2 linked regions of the Notamacropus eugenii genome follow. The protein of the gene in region 2 interacts with the protein of the main gene of each other region in a pairwise test. Links are inferred from orthologs where the notes say so. Each region holds a gene or a part of one and is shown on either strand. Other genes may lie near its edges.

Region 1 (7,748 bases), on a different chromosome or scaffold from region 2:
ACCCTTCAAGCCCTGTCCCCAGCTAGCTGGTTAAGGTGCACTTTCCCTATTCCCCTCACCTGGGCTGGTTGGGGTAATGCTTGGGTGGCTGAGAAGGGCCAGGGATAGCCTCTGCTCCAGCCAACCAGACACACAGCTTACGGCCACTGACACCAAACGCCGAAGGTCCTAAGCTTAACGGTGCCAGGTCAACCCCTGAGGGAAACCTGTTCCTCTTGGCAGCCTAAGCAATGCCCATAAGCTTTGTCTTGGTTTGAAAGGGCTCAGGATTTCTCAATGCCTGGGAAGTCACTGGGTAAAGAAAAGGACAGTGGCCGATTCCTGTGGCACAACGGTGAGAGACTCAATGTCCCTTTTCCCTTCTGAGCTCTGAGGACACATGAAGGTCTCCCTTCTCCTGCTGAAGTTTCAGAGTGGCATGGGTCTCCCAAGAACTATGTGGTACCTGCCAGCACCAAGACAGGAACCTGGTCCTCAGCATGGCACCCAAGGAAGTAGCCGAGATCCCCTCCCCTCCTCATACAAGAGCCCAGACCAGAGCAAGACCAGTAGGAGCCAATGCGGCTCAGTGGAGTTGCATTGTAAAAACCTTGCTGAGGAAGAGTTTAGCTTTAACCGGCCTGTTTGTTAGGGGATCCTGGGTTCCCAAGTCAGAGCAAGCAGCCTGCCAGGTTTGTGATGTCGCTGGACTTGAGCTACCGTCCACCTTTTACCTGTATCTTTTGGAGTCCACTGGCACCACGTCAATAGCAATGTAATATTGTTTCACAGGGTCCAGCCCTTTCACTTTGACACGAACAGAAGGGAACATTCGCCTGCAGAAGAGACGGAAAGCACTCTGCTCTGTCTGGCCTTGAAAAACATTTGCCGGAGGGGAGGCTGGCTGCCTCGCTTTTCCAAGTGCGAAGGGAAGAGGATTCAGTACTAGCGGCAGAAAAGGCCTAAGCAATGTACGGGAGAAGCTTGGGAGTCCCTCTGTGCATCGGCTGAAATGTTGGTACTCTCCAGGAAGAGGAGGGCTCCCTCCCTGTGTATGATCTAACAGAGCTGCTTCCAAAAGGGAAAGGGACAAACAAGCAAAGGTTCTTTTGAATTGTTTCTGAGAGGTGAACTCTGGGAACTTTTAAATTGTGACTGAGTCGATCTGGGGCTAACCCTACACTCAACTCATTCTCTGTATTTCTGTTCCTTTGCTAAAGCAAGATGGGAGGAAAGCACACTGGGAGAATTTCGAGCTAGGTGCAAATGAGAGGATTTGGGCGAGGCACACCTCCCATCTATGGGTTTCTCCGAATCTCTCTGACCCTCGGGTGGGTAATTTACTCCCTGACCCGTGTAACTGACAGGGCTTAGAGCAATTTTACTGGCAAAGAAAGCTGCTTATTTAGAAGTGGGCTCAAGGACTGACCCTGAGAGTACCCACTGGCAAGCGGCTGCCTCTGGGCTCTCAAGGAGAAGCTGACTCCACGAGTTGGAGGTGAGCATGTGCCTCAGTACCAGGGTGAGCCTAGATAGCTCCGCAAGAGGTTCCTGCCCTGCGTGGGAGGTGTCTAGTGATGGTGCTGTCTGCCCCAGGATCCTCCTAGGTTGGGTTCTGGAAACAGGGGCCTGCCTACCTGCCGGCTTTGGTGATGATCATCTCAGTCCCAATCTCATGGAATCTCTGCCACAGCTCGGAGCCTTGGAGCTCTGCCTGGACGTTATCTTTATCTTCCGGATTTTCGGAGAAAGCAGTCGTCGAAGTTTCTACTTTGGGTCTCTTTTCTGCCCAGAGACAGAAATGGAAGGTGTTTGTGCTCCAGGTTCTCCCTTCCTGGCTGCCTCCAGCGCCTAGGACCTGTCCCCAGGACAGCAGGTCCCGGCCCATTTCACAGACCGGTACTACTGGAAGGAACCTCAATGATCATCTGTTCCAACTTCAGTTTTACAGAGGAAGAAATATGGTCAGAGAGAACTAGTAACCTGAGCAGTCACACAAATAAGGAGTCTCAGTCCGAGGCCACCTCAAGTTGCCTCCGAATGAAGTGAAGTATTTCAGGGAAGGAGACCCCCATCCTACCCCCACCGTGGTCACTGGGAAAGAATCCGCTCTTGTCCCTCAAACCCACAACACTTAGAGGGAATGAGGGGCAGCGGGGCCGCAGCTCTACTGAGCTTAAGTCCTAGCGCAGGGCCTTCCCTCTTTCATTGGCACTCCCCATGGCTGGGGAACTGTGCATCCCAAAAGGAATCTGGGGAGCTCTGTCCTAGAGGCAGGTTCTCAGTCCCTCTCAGGTTCTCCTGGCAGCTGCTCCCAGAAGTAGGCTGCCCAAAGCTATGGGACCCCCAGCCAAGGCCCTCGCCCACCCAAGATAGCCAAGGAGCCTCCCTGGGCTGGCCACCTCTGGCGTCCGCGGTGTAGCAGGCTGCTGCTGCTGTGTTTGGGGTGGGGGGAGAAGGGTGATGATACTGACCCGATTCCTCGATTTTCCTCAGCACCCGGTTTTCTCTGTCTTCCTCTTCCTCTTTTCCCTCCACATCGCCTTTCTCCAGCAGATCCTGCGGCGGCTGCTCATCCCGCAAGTCTCGGAGTTTCCTTTTGGTTGCTCTCCCCACCAAGGCTTCCACGGAGAACGCGTGAGCTCGGGAGCTCAAAGCCATCCCTGGAGGAACCAACGGAATCTACACGAGCAAGAGAAGCTTCCACTTGATCCTTGGGGGAGGGGAGAGCAGTTGGGAGTGGGGGGAGAAGGGCAGGAGGAAGTGAAGGGGAAATCCAAAAAGTCGAAAATGGAATTGTCTTTCCCCAAAATTTTCTAAAGGAGGAAAGGAGAAGAAAGATCAATATTAAGACCTGAGGCTCCTCATTATAGACTGGGGAAGAGCTGAGATTTCTGACTAAAAAAAAACACCAAAAACCTGCTCCCATCGGACATGTGGGGACCATCAGTGGTCAAATCTCCCCCCGTTCATTTTTTTTCCTAATGGTTCTACAAGATTGGCAAGGGGAGACCTGGGAGGGAGCAGCCCTGCCCTGAGGACCGGCTGGGGAGCTCCAATGGGGGCGCCGCGGCAGGCAGCCCGGGGAGAGCAGTAAGCCCGCCCGGATGCAGGCACTGAGGCAGCCCGGCCCGGCCCGCAGCCTGCAGCCTCCGCTGTTTGTTTTGGAAACTGGTGGAAGCAAAAGAGCACGCTGAGTGACATTTCAGAGCAAGGGCGGCGAGGGGGGGGAGGGGGGGAAGGGGCGGGGGGGGGAGGGAGGGGAGAAGAAGGGGGAGGAAGGGGGAGGGAGGAGGGGGGAGAGAGGGAGACGGCCTCGTCTAGGATAAATAAAAGGTTACTGTTTTACATTAAATTGTAAAACTCAAAGAAATGTGACATAATTGCCCACGAGGGGCCACTTTTCCAACAAAAGTGCAAATAGTGTTTAACCAGATCCAGAAAAATCTTCCCGGGGTTTTTGGCTAGCCAGCGCAGGCGGCTGCTGGGGGCTGATGTTCCCGGGAACAGGGGAAGGGATAACCAAACCAGGTCTAGGGGGCGGGATGGCCAGTGCACTGAACCCCAGGGCTCTCTTTCGAGCTGCCCAGGTTTGGAAGTTTTTACAAGTGCGAGCCCTAGAGCTAGAAACCATAAGCTTAGCCAGCTCCTGCCCTAATCCGGAGGCTTGAAGTTTTTGACTTGAAAGAAAAGGTCGGGAACATACATCTGCCGGAGAGAGACGTCTGCCCAAGCCTGGGGGTCATCCAACAGGGGAAGGGGGGAATCTCGCTCTTCGATAAAAGTCCTACCTCCTATGGCCCTGGTCCCAATTCGATTCTCTTTCTCACAGACAAATGATGAACCTTCAGGGTAGCAGACCTCAGCAAGCTTCTGTTATCTTCTTTCTTCTATAGTCAAGTAGTTCTGAACCAGGGGTCCAGGGACCCCCTAAGGCATCCATGGGTAGAATTCAACGAGTTCCTCAACTCAGATAAGGAAAAAATTAGATCTTTATTTTCACTTAGCTCTCAGTGAGATTTAACATTTCCTTCAATTATTTAAAAGCCCAGTTCAGAGAAGGGATCCAGAGACTTCACTAGACTGTCTAAACAGAACATGCCACAAGAAAGGCTAAGAATCCCTGATCTAGTCTTTGTGGGGAATGTACTTTTCTGCTCTCAACTGATGAGTGTACATATATCTGTATAGCTAGATGAACCAAACTCTTTCTGTGTCTGTTTCTCTCTCTCCCCCCCTCTCTGTTTCTTTCTTGTTCTCCCCTTCTATCTCTCTCTCTCTCTCTCTCTCTGCCTATCTCCCTCTCTCTCCCCCTCTCCCTTTCTCCTTCCCTCTCTCCCCATCTTCCTCTCCTCTTTTCTTTTCTCCTTTCCTTCCTCCCCCCCCCATACACACACATTTGAATCCAATATTTTAATGTGCCCTACATATCAATTCTTCAAGGATCTGTAATTTCATCAGTGGGGGAGGGGGGGAGGGAGGGGCACATCTGAATAACAAGGGCAACCTTCTATGCTTTCTAAATGTATTTCAGGATGAAAAATTATTTACCCCATAAGTCAGCTTGGTGATGATCTTCTCTGAACTTGGCTAGGCTGATTGTCAAAAGACAGAGAGACAATGTATATAACCATGTAATCATCTATGTCCGTATATATGATAGGATCATGGCTCTAGAGCTGGAAGAGAACTTAGAAGACATCTAGTCCCATCCCCTCATTTTATAAAAAAAACTGGGGCCCAGAAGTTAAGCAGTTTGCATAAGGTTACACAAATAGCAGAGCTAGAATTTGAACTTAGGTTCTACGGTTCCAAGTCTTCCCGCTGCCCCCATGTATGTAGATGACTGAAACTGAGCTTTCTCCAACCGTCTTATTGTCCTCTGACACCGCAGTCATTGAACTGCCCTTTAAAATATCTGCTGGGGGCAGCTAGGTGGTGCTGCAGTAGATAGAGTCTTAATAGAGCATTGGAGTGAGGAGGACCCAGGTGCAAATGTGACCTCTGACACTTACTAACTGTGTGACACTGGGCAAGTCACTTCATCTGGATTGCCTCCAAAATAAAATGCAATATATTCTACCTCATTTCAAAAGTGTCTAACTACAAAGTAATCACAGGTGGGAGGATCTGGTCAATGATTTCATTGCTTTAGGGAACTTTCTGACCTAGAAACTCTCCCCTACCAAGCAGATCAACAATTTATCTTTAATTGCAGTCTTTAGAGAGGTACCTGAGGCTACTCCTAAGTTAAGTGACTTGCCCATGGGCAGTCAGTTACCAATATGTCAGACCTGGATGTGAACCTAGCTAAGGTGTTACTTATTCCAAGGTTGCCTGCTTTATGCCATTTAATATACAACTGCGGTATCTGAATGATCTTGAGGAATGTGCCTGTTCACCTTATAGTCTCAGCTACGAGTCCCATTTAGTGCACATTTTTGATGTGACCTGAAACAAGACGTTTACCTTTTTACTCACTATTTTCCATGATACATCAGTGGTGGCACAGTGAATAGAGAAAATCCTGCCTCAGATCTTTATTAGCTGCGTGACCCCGAACAAGTTACTTTACCTCAGCTTCCTCACCGGGAGGGTCAAATTCAATAATATACGTAAATCTCTTTGCAAACCCTACATAATTATTTATATAAATGCTAGCTATTACATCAGTAAAAACCCCCAGCAAAACACCTTCCATGACTCTCAGTTTGATAACTTAATTCACTTGGACTATGAGGTTGCCATTTGTTTTCAGGAAAAAAATTATTATCCTTTGGTGAAGTTATCCCCAATGCTTTGTGATGGTGTGAAGGTAATCCTAGGCTCTCAAATGCTCAGCCAGGGGAGCACAAACACCAACATGTCTTTCCAAGCAGGAAAAACTTAGAATAGAGGCTGGGGATGGACCATATATCTGACATCCAAGGACCAGCCTAAGTAAGCTGAGAGATTCTCAGCACCAGGCTGGCCACAGGGTGATGAAATTAAAATTTTTGACCACAGCAACACCCTTATACCAAGTTATAAAAAGGTTACTATCTGCATTGGTTAAGGGAGTGCCTTTGAAATACTGAAGTAAAAAAAAAAAGCAGGGGTGGGGGAACTGATGTCTGGTCTGGGTTGGGAAGACAGCATTTTGGCTTTATAATGGGGAAGACAGTGTGATTGTAATAGAGAAAACCACTGGGTTGGGTGTTAAGAGGCACCCTCTTCAAGCCTTGGACTAGCCCAGTAGTCTAAGGTAAGTCATTCTCTCTGAGTCTCAATTTCTCATCTATTAGCCTCATTGATCTTTAAAGTCCCTTTAAACTCTAAAATTCTATCTCCTAATATTCTATAATATATTTCCATGTCTGCAGATAGGAGTGCCAAGTTTTATTTATGGTGTAAATGTGACCCAACATGAAGAAAATCTTGGTAAAGCTCAAGACAGATTGCTCTGACACCATTTCCTGACATGATCTTGGCCACAAATCAATGAAACTTGCTTTCTGCCAGCACAAAGTAAGGAAGGCAAAGAAGTCCTTAAGCATTCTTTCCATCCTGGCCAGAAGATGGCCTGCCCAGTGGGAACGAGTTTAGCTCTGTTTCCCTCAGGTCCTTGGACAAGGGATGGAACGGAGAAAATGTTGGGGGAATCTACAAAAATCTTCTACTCAGCCACCATGGCAAGTCTGAAAGGATCTCTTCTAAATGAAGGTTCTTGCTTGAGTTTGGTTCACATTCTTTGTAGAGGGTAGGAAGTAGCCTGAGGGGAAATGTATTTGGGCTGTTGAATTCCTGTTAAAATCAAGGCAGAAAAGTGTCTTAGCTGTTCCTTTCTGGATTAATGTTCCAGAGAGCTCTTTTTGTGGTTGGTGGGAACTGTTTTTCTTGGGGGAAAAAATCCCCCCAAAATAATGATAAGCAAATGTGAAATCTGGAGATGAGATACTTCTTACTTTGGAGCAAGCTTTACCATTCCCAATTGAATGTCTATTTGACAGCATAGCTGGAAGCAATGTAGCTAAGCTCTTCCTGTGTATATCCCAATGGGTCTGGAACCCGGGAGTAGTTTCCCGGAATTCCTGTTAACCTCTCCACCCCCAGAAAATCAGCCCCTCCGCAATAGTTTTGCAAGTTCAGCTGCAAGAGTCTTTTGCTTTCAGGTACTGGGGCTCAGTGTGGCAGATGCTCAGGTCAACAATTCATCCACCACAGCTGGATGGTCTCTTTAGCACATTGGATCTTGCTCAGCCCCAGGGCACCTATACAATTTTGGAGGAGAGAGTTTTCCAAAGGCCATGCAAACCACAGAGGAATAGTGGAAGAATACAGAACAGCCCTGGTCCACATGGATGGTCAGATTAGAGAAAAGAATGGGGAAACTGATGACAATTTGGAAATCCTCATTGTAAGATGTCATAGTAAAGGATGACTTTAGAGAGCCTGGAAAAATAAGCATGTGACATGGGGAAGTGAGACAGGATGCTGCAATGGAGGCGGGGGGGGGGGGGGGGGGGGGGAGGGGGGGAGGAGGTGATGTATTAAAGGTAGGACTACTTGGGCTCTGCAAGAGAGTCATCATGGAGTCACAATGGATAGAAAGATAGCCTGGGAGCTAGGAAGATCTGGGCCTGACATGCTGACTGTGTCATCCTAGGCAAGTCACTTAACCATTCAGTACTCTAGGCAGCTCTCTAAGATTGTAAATTGCAGAAAAGGCACTGAACTGCCTTGGTAGGGAGCATTTTCTTATCTGGGAATTCCCTCTGCCTGGAGAATTA
Region 2 (6,958 bases):
CCTCCAAGGACGGCCAGCTTGGCCTGTCCGTTGTGGACTTCTCTGTACATGTGTGGTCTCCAGAACTCTAGGAGAGCCAATATTATGGTAATAATTATAGCAATTAGTCTTTACAAGTTACCTACTATGTGCAAACAGAATGAGGTGGCTTGCCTGGGGTCACACAGCTAGTAATTGCCTGAGGTGGAATTTGAACTCTGCAACTCCAGAGTCAAGGCTCAGTTTTCTAGCTGAGGCATTTAGGGTTAGGCCCACCTCGCCGCCCAAATGCTTTACAAATGTCATTTCGCTTTATCCTCATCACAGCCCTTCAAGATAGAGACGCTGTTATTCTCCCCATTTTTTAGCTGAGGAAACTTAAGCAGACAGAGGTTAAGTGATTTGAGCAGCATCGCAGTCACAAAGCTAGCACGTGTCAGGGGTCACATTGACTCCATCTCATTGGACCACCTATAGAAGAGGAGCAGGCGGTCAGGTAGGTCAGGACAGGACAGACAGACAGAGATGAGGTGAAGGGCTGGGAGTCAGACCTGGCTTCAAAGCCCACAGGCTCACCTCCCTGAGCTTCCTCTATACCTTGAAAAGACTCGCACTCTGAAGTGGGGAAGGGGGCACAGGGGTCCCTACCCTGACAAATATCACAGCAGTGCTGGCCACAGGTGGTGCTTCGTAGGAATCATTTCCCACTTTCTCTACTGAGTTCAGGAGTGTTACATCCAGTAGAGGGAGCCACACTACCTTCCACTCATACAAGAAGAGAAAGAACCACCTCCCCCTTCTCCCCTCCTCACCTTTCTAGGATAGGTGACTGTGTCCCATAGTCCTAGCTCCACCGCAGCCTCTGGGAGAGATAGGCTAGGCCCCCCCACTACTAAAACAATTAGGCTTCGAAATCCCATTAGTCTGGGAAGTAAACAATGGTCTCATTCCTTTCCAGCCCAGATTCCAAGGCTGATCCTCTGGCCGTCACCCCTAGGACCAGGAATCCTGGGAAGTGGCTCCACTGGAAATCCACAATCAGTGAATGGGTTGCTTTGGCCTTGGTCTCCGGCCCCTCTGCCTATCTTGCCCAGGTGCCCACCAGAGAAGGTAAAGCTGCTTCTAAATTCCTCCTCCTCCCCTCCATGGAGTCAACACAAGGAAGGCCTTAAGGTGTCCTTTCAAACACACTGGAGCTGTCCAATAAATAAATGTGCTTATAAGCCTTTCCTAAGTGCCTGTGATGGGCCACTCAGCCCCGGATAAGCCTTTTTCAGATCACTCCTTGGTTCTGCTTGGTGTCACTGCTGGGTGCCCCAGAGCATTTCACTGACCACAGGCACAGTATTCTGTTTGTGGATGGGATGGGGAGAAGAAGATTGGTATGCTGGCTGTGTGACCCTTCATCCCCTCCCAAGCACAGCCTCCATTTTCTACAAGTTGGTAAGAAAATGGTTAAAGCTGTGAAAATGCACATGATTATCAGGCTGGGTCTTCCCAGGCCCTTCCAAAAGGGCAGGCTAACAATTCAATCACTTTATCTCTAATGAGATAATGTATGCAAAGTGCTTTGCAAAATTGCAACCAGAGGCTGTGATTATTCTGACAAGCCTGGGGCCCCAGCTGGGGGGAGGGGAGAGATCCATCCACAATTAGGTATTAAATGGGGTTGATTTCTGCCTCACCTTCTGCTAGGTTAAAACACGACACTCTGAGAATGGTCTTAAGACCCCCAGGACACCCAGGAGAGCTTGGCCAAGTAAGAGTGAACTGCCTTCCTCACCTTTGGGCTAACCCTCACCAGCTAGATGTGGACCTGAGACTCCAGGTCCCTTTTAACTGCCCCCATACTCTCTGCTGGCAGTGACAGGGACATCCAACAGTCTTGTATCTTCTGAGGATGTCAGAAGCCTGTTCTTTGACTACACCAGGAACTGTCTCCAGAAATAAGGGCGATCTCTCCCCCAGGATGTAATTAGTCAAATTCTAAACACACACACACACCTAATTTAGTGCTTAAGAACCCAGGCTGACACAAAATCCCAGAATTTTAGACCTGGAAGGACTCCCAGCTATTCTCTCATTCAACCCTTCCATTGGACAGTTGTCACAATCACAGTCAAAAAAGAACTTTAGCCCTTGGGGTAGTGATCCCAAAGCAGCACTGTACTTTGGTCCTTTCTCCTTAGCTTTTACTTTCCAAGATCACAGGAGTACAGATCTGGAGTTAGAAGGGATCCTTGAGGTCTTCCAGTTCGATCTTCCCACTCTACAGATGAAGAAATTGAGGCACCCACTTCAAAGTTAAACAACATGATCACATGAACTGCATTAAGAGACAGAACCAGGGTCTGAATCCCTGTCATCTGACTCTTTCCACTAAGTCTCAGTATTTTTTACTTACTCCCATATTCACTCTTTTTTGTCATTGTCTTTGTTTTGTTTCATTTCCTTCTAGTCTGCTGTATTCCTCCCCAGGTCTAGCTTGTCAACATTCTTCTTGAGAAGCTCCTTACTCTGGTTGACCAGGATCACAGGCTTCCATCAGGACCTGAAGAACCACCCTCCCCCAACCTCTACCATCTAACCCTTGTGCCTACCCATTGTCCAGGTGGTGAAGCTGAGGTCCAGCCCAAGAGGGGGGTGAAAGGACATGCTGAGAACTCACACAGAACAAGGGATAGGATGGAGCAGAATTCAAATGTATACATAGATACATACAAATCAATAAACAGTAAGCACCTACTATGTGCTATACCCTGTGCTAAGTGTTGGAGATACAAAGAAAGGTAAAAGATGGTCCCTGACTTCAAGGAGCTCATGGTCCAATGCAGGAAGCTACAAGCAAACATGCACAGATAACCTCGGTGCCAAATAAATAGGAAATAACATGGGGAAAGACTTCCTGGAGAGGGAGGGATTTTTACTTGGGACTTCAAGGAAACCAGGGAAAGCCCTGAGGCAAAGGTGAATTGGAAGACCAACCAGGGTTTTGGGACTGCCTGGAAAATGCCCAGAGCTAAGAGGACAGGGTCAGTTCAGGCTGTACCACTGCATCATAATGTCTCTCTCTCTTTCTCTTTCTCTCTCTCTCTCTCTCTCTCTCTCTCTCTCTCTCTTTCTCTCTCTCTCTCCTTCTCTCTCTCTCTCTCAAGGAGGTGATGTGGAAGATAACTAGAAAAGCAGGAGGGGCAACTTATGAAAGGTTTAAGTGACAAAGAAAAGATTTTATATTTGATCGTGGAGGTAAGGGTGAGCCGTGATTAGTCAGAGCTGTGATTTACAAAGGTCACTTTCACAGATCACAAGAGAAGAATGGACTGGAGTAAGCAGAGACCAGCAGACAGACCAAAACTAGTGCAGTCATCCAGGTGTTCGGTGATGAGGACTTGCACCAGGGTGGAGGTGCTGTCAGAGAGAAAGGGGCATATGTGAGAGATGTGACAAAAGTAAAACCAATAGGCCTGGTAATCGATTGGATATGGGGGGTGAGAGAGAATGAGGAGCTGAAAATGACACCTAGGATATGAGGATGGGGATGCCCTGCTGAGTGACAGGGAAGTTTGGAATCTGGAAGGGGCGAGTTTGAGGAGGAAGGTAATCAGTTCAGTTTGAGATTTCTACCGGACATACATCATAAGAAGCAGTTGGAGACAGACTGAAGGTCAGCAGAAAGGTTAGGACTGGATAAATCGGTCTGAGAATCACCAGCATAAAGATGAGACCTGAATACTTGGATGCTAATGAGATCACTAAGGAAATAGTAGAGAGATAGAAGAGTTAGCTTCTTAAGTGTGCATGCCCATGAGAGCACTGGAGAAGGAAATGTTAAAATCCCCCCCAGGATCTTCACCAAGTAAACCCCATGGATAGTATGGTCCATGGGGTCACAACGAGTTAGACAGGAAGGAACAACGATGTGTAAATGCATATATTTGTAGATGTGCATCCCTAGGGGAAAGGATGAATATTAACTCTAGAGGAGTACGCAGAAGTGTCCTTTCCATTGGTTTTATTATATGGGTTGGACTCTAAGGCCCCTCTGGAAGCCCCCAACCTAACCCACAAACCAGGTCAGTGACTGGGTTATACCTGCATTTATAGGCATGTTCTCTGCCCAAATTGTAGCATGTATTTCCTTGGGAGAATGGCTGGACTAAAGAAGTGGGACTTTCCGGGGAAGGATCTGCAGCTAGTCTTTCCTTGCAGTATTAACAGAGTACCTAGAACAAAGTAGGCCCTTAACAAAGGTTTTTTTAAACTATTTATTGACTGAACTAGACAGAAGCCTCCAGTCCAACGGACTTTAAGGGAGGGAGACCTGGAGGAGCCATTTTCTCGGCATCCTCTTTGGGCCAAGATAAGTGGGGGAGAACTAAGGAGTCCTCTGGGGGAGGAGGGAGGGTTCGGGGGGGGGCGGGGGGGGAAAGGAGGATGTAACTACTGGGACGTAACCACCCGGAGAAGGAACTCAGACATCTAGGAGCCAGCAGAAGTGCGAAGGGCCCCCGGGGTGGGGCTGAATGTAGGACAATTAGGTGGTACTTATCGGAGCCTTTGAGGTTTGTTTATGCAAGCCAGATTGGGGGGTGGGCCCTCAGCCGGCCCCGCAGCTTATATAAGTTTCACCCTGGCGCTCCCAGGAGAGTTAAAGTCCATCCTTTTTGGTGCCCACCAGTCTCATAATGACGAAGGCCCCATTTTCTGTGGAATGGCTCTCTCAGAGCAGCCAGAAGCCCTCACGCCTCGGCCAAGATGACTCAGAGGCTTCCACTGCAGGGAAAGGCCGAGGCGACCAGGTCCTTGGGGGGGATCTTATTTTATCGGGCCTTCCTGATACCTCGGGGTCAGAAGGCCCTTCTACGAGTTCGTGGGTCCCGACGCTACCCGCCGCCGCCGCCGCCGCCGCCGTTGTCAGAGAGTCTTCCTTAGTCAGTAAGTGCTTTCTCCAGGTGTGGTGGTCAATAGAGGAGACCCCGAACTAGAATGGGGTGTGGAGGAAAACCATAACACACGGAAAAGGGCTGTGTTTGGAGGGGAAGAAGAGAGAAGGCGGGCCAAGGGCCAGGGTGACTGGAAGGGACAAGGGAGACAGCACTGGACTGGACTGGACTGGACCAGGCCAGCCCAACAGGGGGACTTGCTGCTTCCGAGAAAGTCCGATTCCTGTTGGATAGCCTTTCCACCAGAAGCCAGGAGCGCGGAGGTCAGGTTCAAGTTGTCTTTAGGGGGCGAGGCATTTGGGGAACTCCTTGCCACTCAGGGCCACGTGTTTTGACCAGTAAGGAAGCACTTAGCCTACCAGCCTGCCCTAATTGACCCATCCCTACGAGAGCTAGTTGTCATTTGAAGATATTCCTGACCTCCCTACCAGAGCCGAAGCTCAGGCCCTCGGTGAGGGTGTGCCGACATGTCTAGGTGGGAAGGCCTAGACTTTCTAAGCGCCGCCTCACCTCTCTCCCAAGAATCCAGGTCTCTGGGCGAGGAGGCTTCCCCTGAGGTCAACAGTGGCAGCTGCGGGCTGTCGGAGGGCCCAGGCCCTGAACCCCATTCCCGGGGCGCTCGCCGCCTGCGCACGGCTTTTACGACCAAGCAGATCAGCACTCTGGAGAGCTCCTTCAAACGCCACCACTACCTGGGCGCTGCGGAGAGGCGCAAACTGGCCGGCAAGATGCAGCTGTCAGAAGTTCAGGTACCCAGACGGGCAGGGGGGGGGCTCCCCACTCCATTCCACCCCACCCCTCGAGCCCCGGTTCTGCCGCCAGCCTGCGGCGATGCTCAACTTGACTTTGACTTGTTGGGCTCCCGCAGATAAAAACCTGGTTCCAGAATCGCCGCATGAAGCTGAAGCGCCAGCTGCAGGATTTGAGGCCCCCCGACCCTCCTCCAGGCTTCCCCCTCCATCTCTACAGCCCCCTGCTTCTGCGCTCTACACCAGTCCCGCCACCAGGCCTGCCATACGTGTACCCCAATTCGCCACAGCTCCGAGTCCCCAGCCTCATCCAGGAGCCCTTTACTGGTGGCCTGGCCCTCCCATCTCTACTCCCTCTGCCTTTACCCCCCAGTTCCTGCAAAGTGGCCCCTCCTGCCATCCCGTCTGTGCTGGCCTGTTTACTGAGCGGTTGCCCAGACCAGGCCTCCTTCCTGAGGGCCTTGTGACGTTGGAGGCCTGCCCCTCTTTCGGGGTGACATTGATACTGAGGAAGGAGAGATGAGACTGGACAGGATAGGACATCTCTAGGAGCCAAAGTCTGACAGGACCTGGTGAAAGAGTCCTCTTTGTTCCACTGGAGGTCCTCAAATATGAACTTATGTATATATTTGCAAAATTTTGTCAAACTATTATGTACAGAAAGAACTATTTATGGAAATATTAAAGAATAGTTGATGTTTTTAACGTCTTATGTGTGCATATGTAATTTGTGAAAGAAACCAGTCCACTTCTGATCAAGATTTCATTCCAAAAGAAAAACAAGTTTGAAATCATTACAAAAGTGGGAGGTTTAGCAGCTGAGATGGGGAGGGAGAAAGACCAGGGAGGGTCATCCTTTCCTGTAGGAGAGTGTGGCATTTTAGAAAATAGGGCCAAGACAGAAGATGGAAAGTGGAGGGAGGTTTGGTTTTTCCAATGTGTGAAAAACATCATGGATAATAAGAAGGGAAGACCCTTAAAAAGTACCCAACAGAAGAGCATCTAAACCTGGAGGTAATAGGGGGAGCCAATTCAATTGGGGTAATGAGAAGGGAAGACCCTTGAAAAGTGCCTAAGCCAATTCAATTCATTGGCAAGAGGTTAGATCCTCATCAATTAATTAGGCTGAGAATTCACTAGGAGCCAAAGCTGGGGGTGTGGGGGGATCTGCTCCTGCACATTTTGGGGAGGTTAGGGTTGAGCAGAGAAAAAGGGAAGAAGGATACAGATTGGGGGAGGAATTCCATAAGTCAACAAATACCCTCCACTCAATTTGAGACCCCTCTA

What was found.
Region 1: the proteins of VENTX (region 2) and TBX22 interact in binary tests that used the Homo sapiens proteins (3 or more experiments, as listed by UniProt). The two-hybrid records come from large-scale screens. The link is inferred for Notamacropus eugenii from reciprocal best matches to the Homo sapiens genes VENTX and TBX22.

Annotation. Positions count from the first base shown.
Region 1 is NC_092879.1:76,582,262-76,590,009, reverse strand, and holds the start of TBX22 (T-box transcription factor TBX22), read right to left. Parts: upstream 3,191-7,748; 5' UTR 2,641-3,190; coding exon 2,454-2,640; intron 1,765-2,453; coding exon 1,617-1,764; intron 816-1,616; coding exon 714-815; intron 1-713. UniProt on the Homo sapiens protein: Probable transcriptional regulator involved in developmental processes. This is major determinant crucial to palatogenesis.
Region 2 is NC_092872.1:291,926,722-291,933,679, forward strand, and holds VENTX (homeobox protein VENTX), read left to right. Parts: upstream 1-4,621; 5' UTR 4,622-4,664; coding exon 4,665-4,914; intron 4,915-5,444; coding exon 5,445-5,671; intron 5,672-5,790; coding exon 5,791-6,138; 3' UTR 6,139-6,376; downstream 6,377-6,958. UniProt on the Homo sapiens protein: May be involved in ventralization.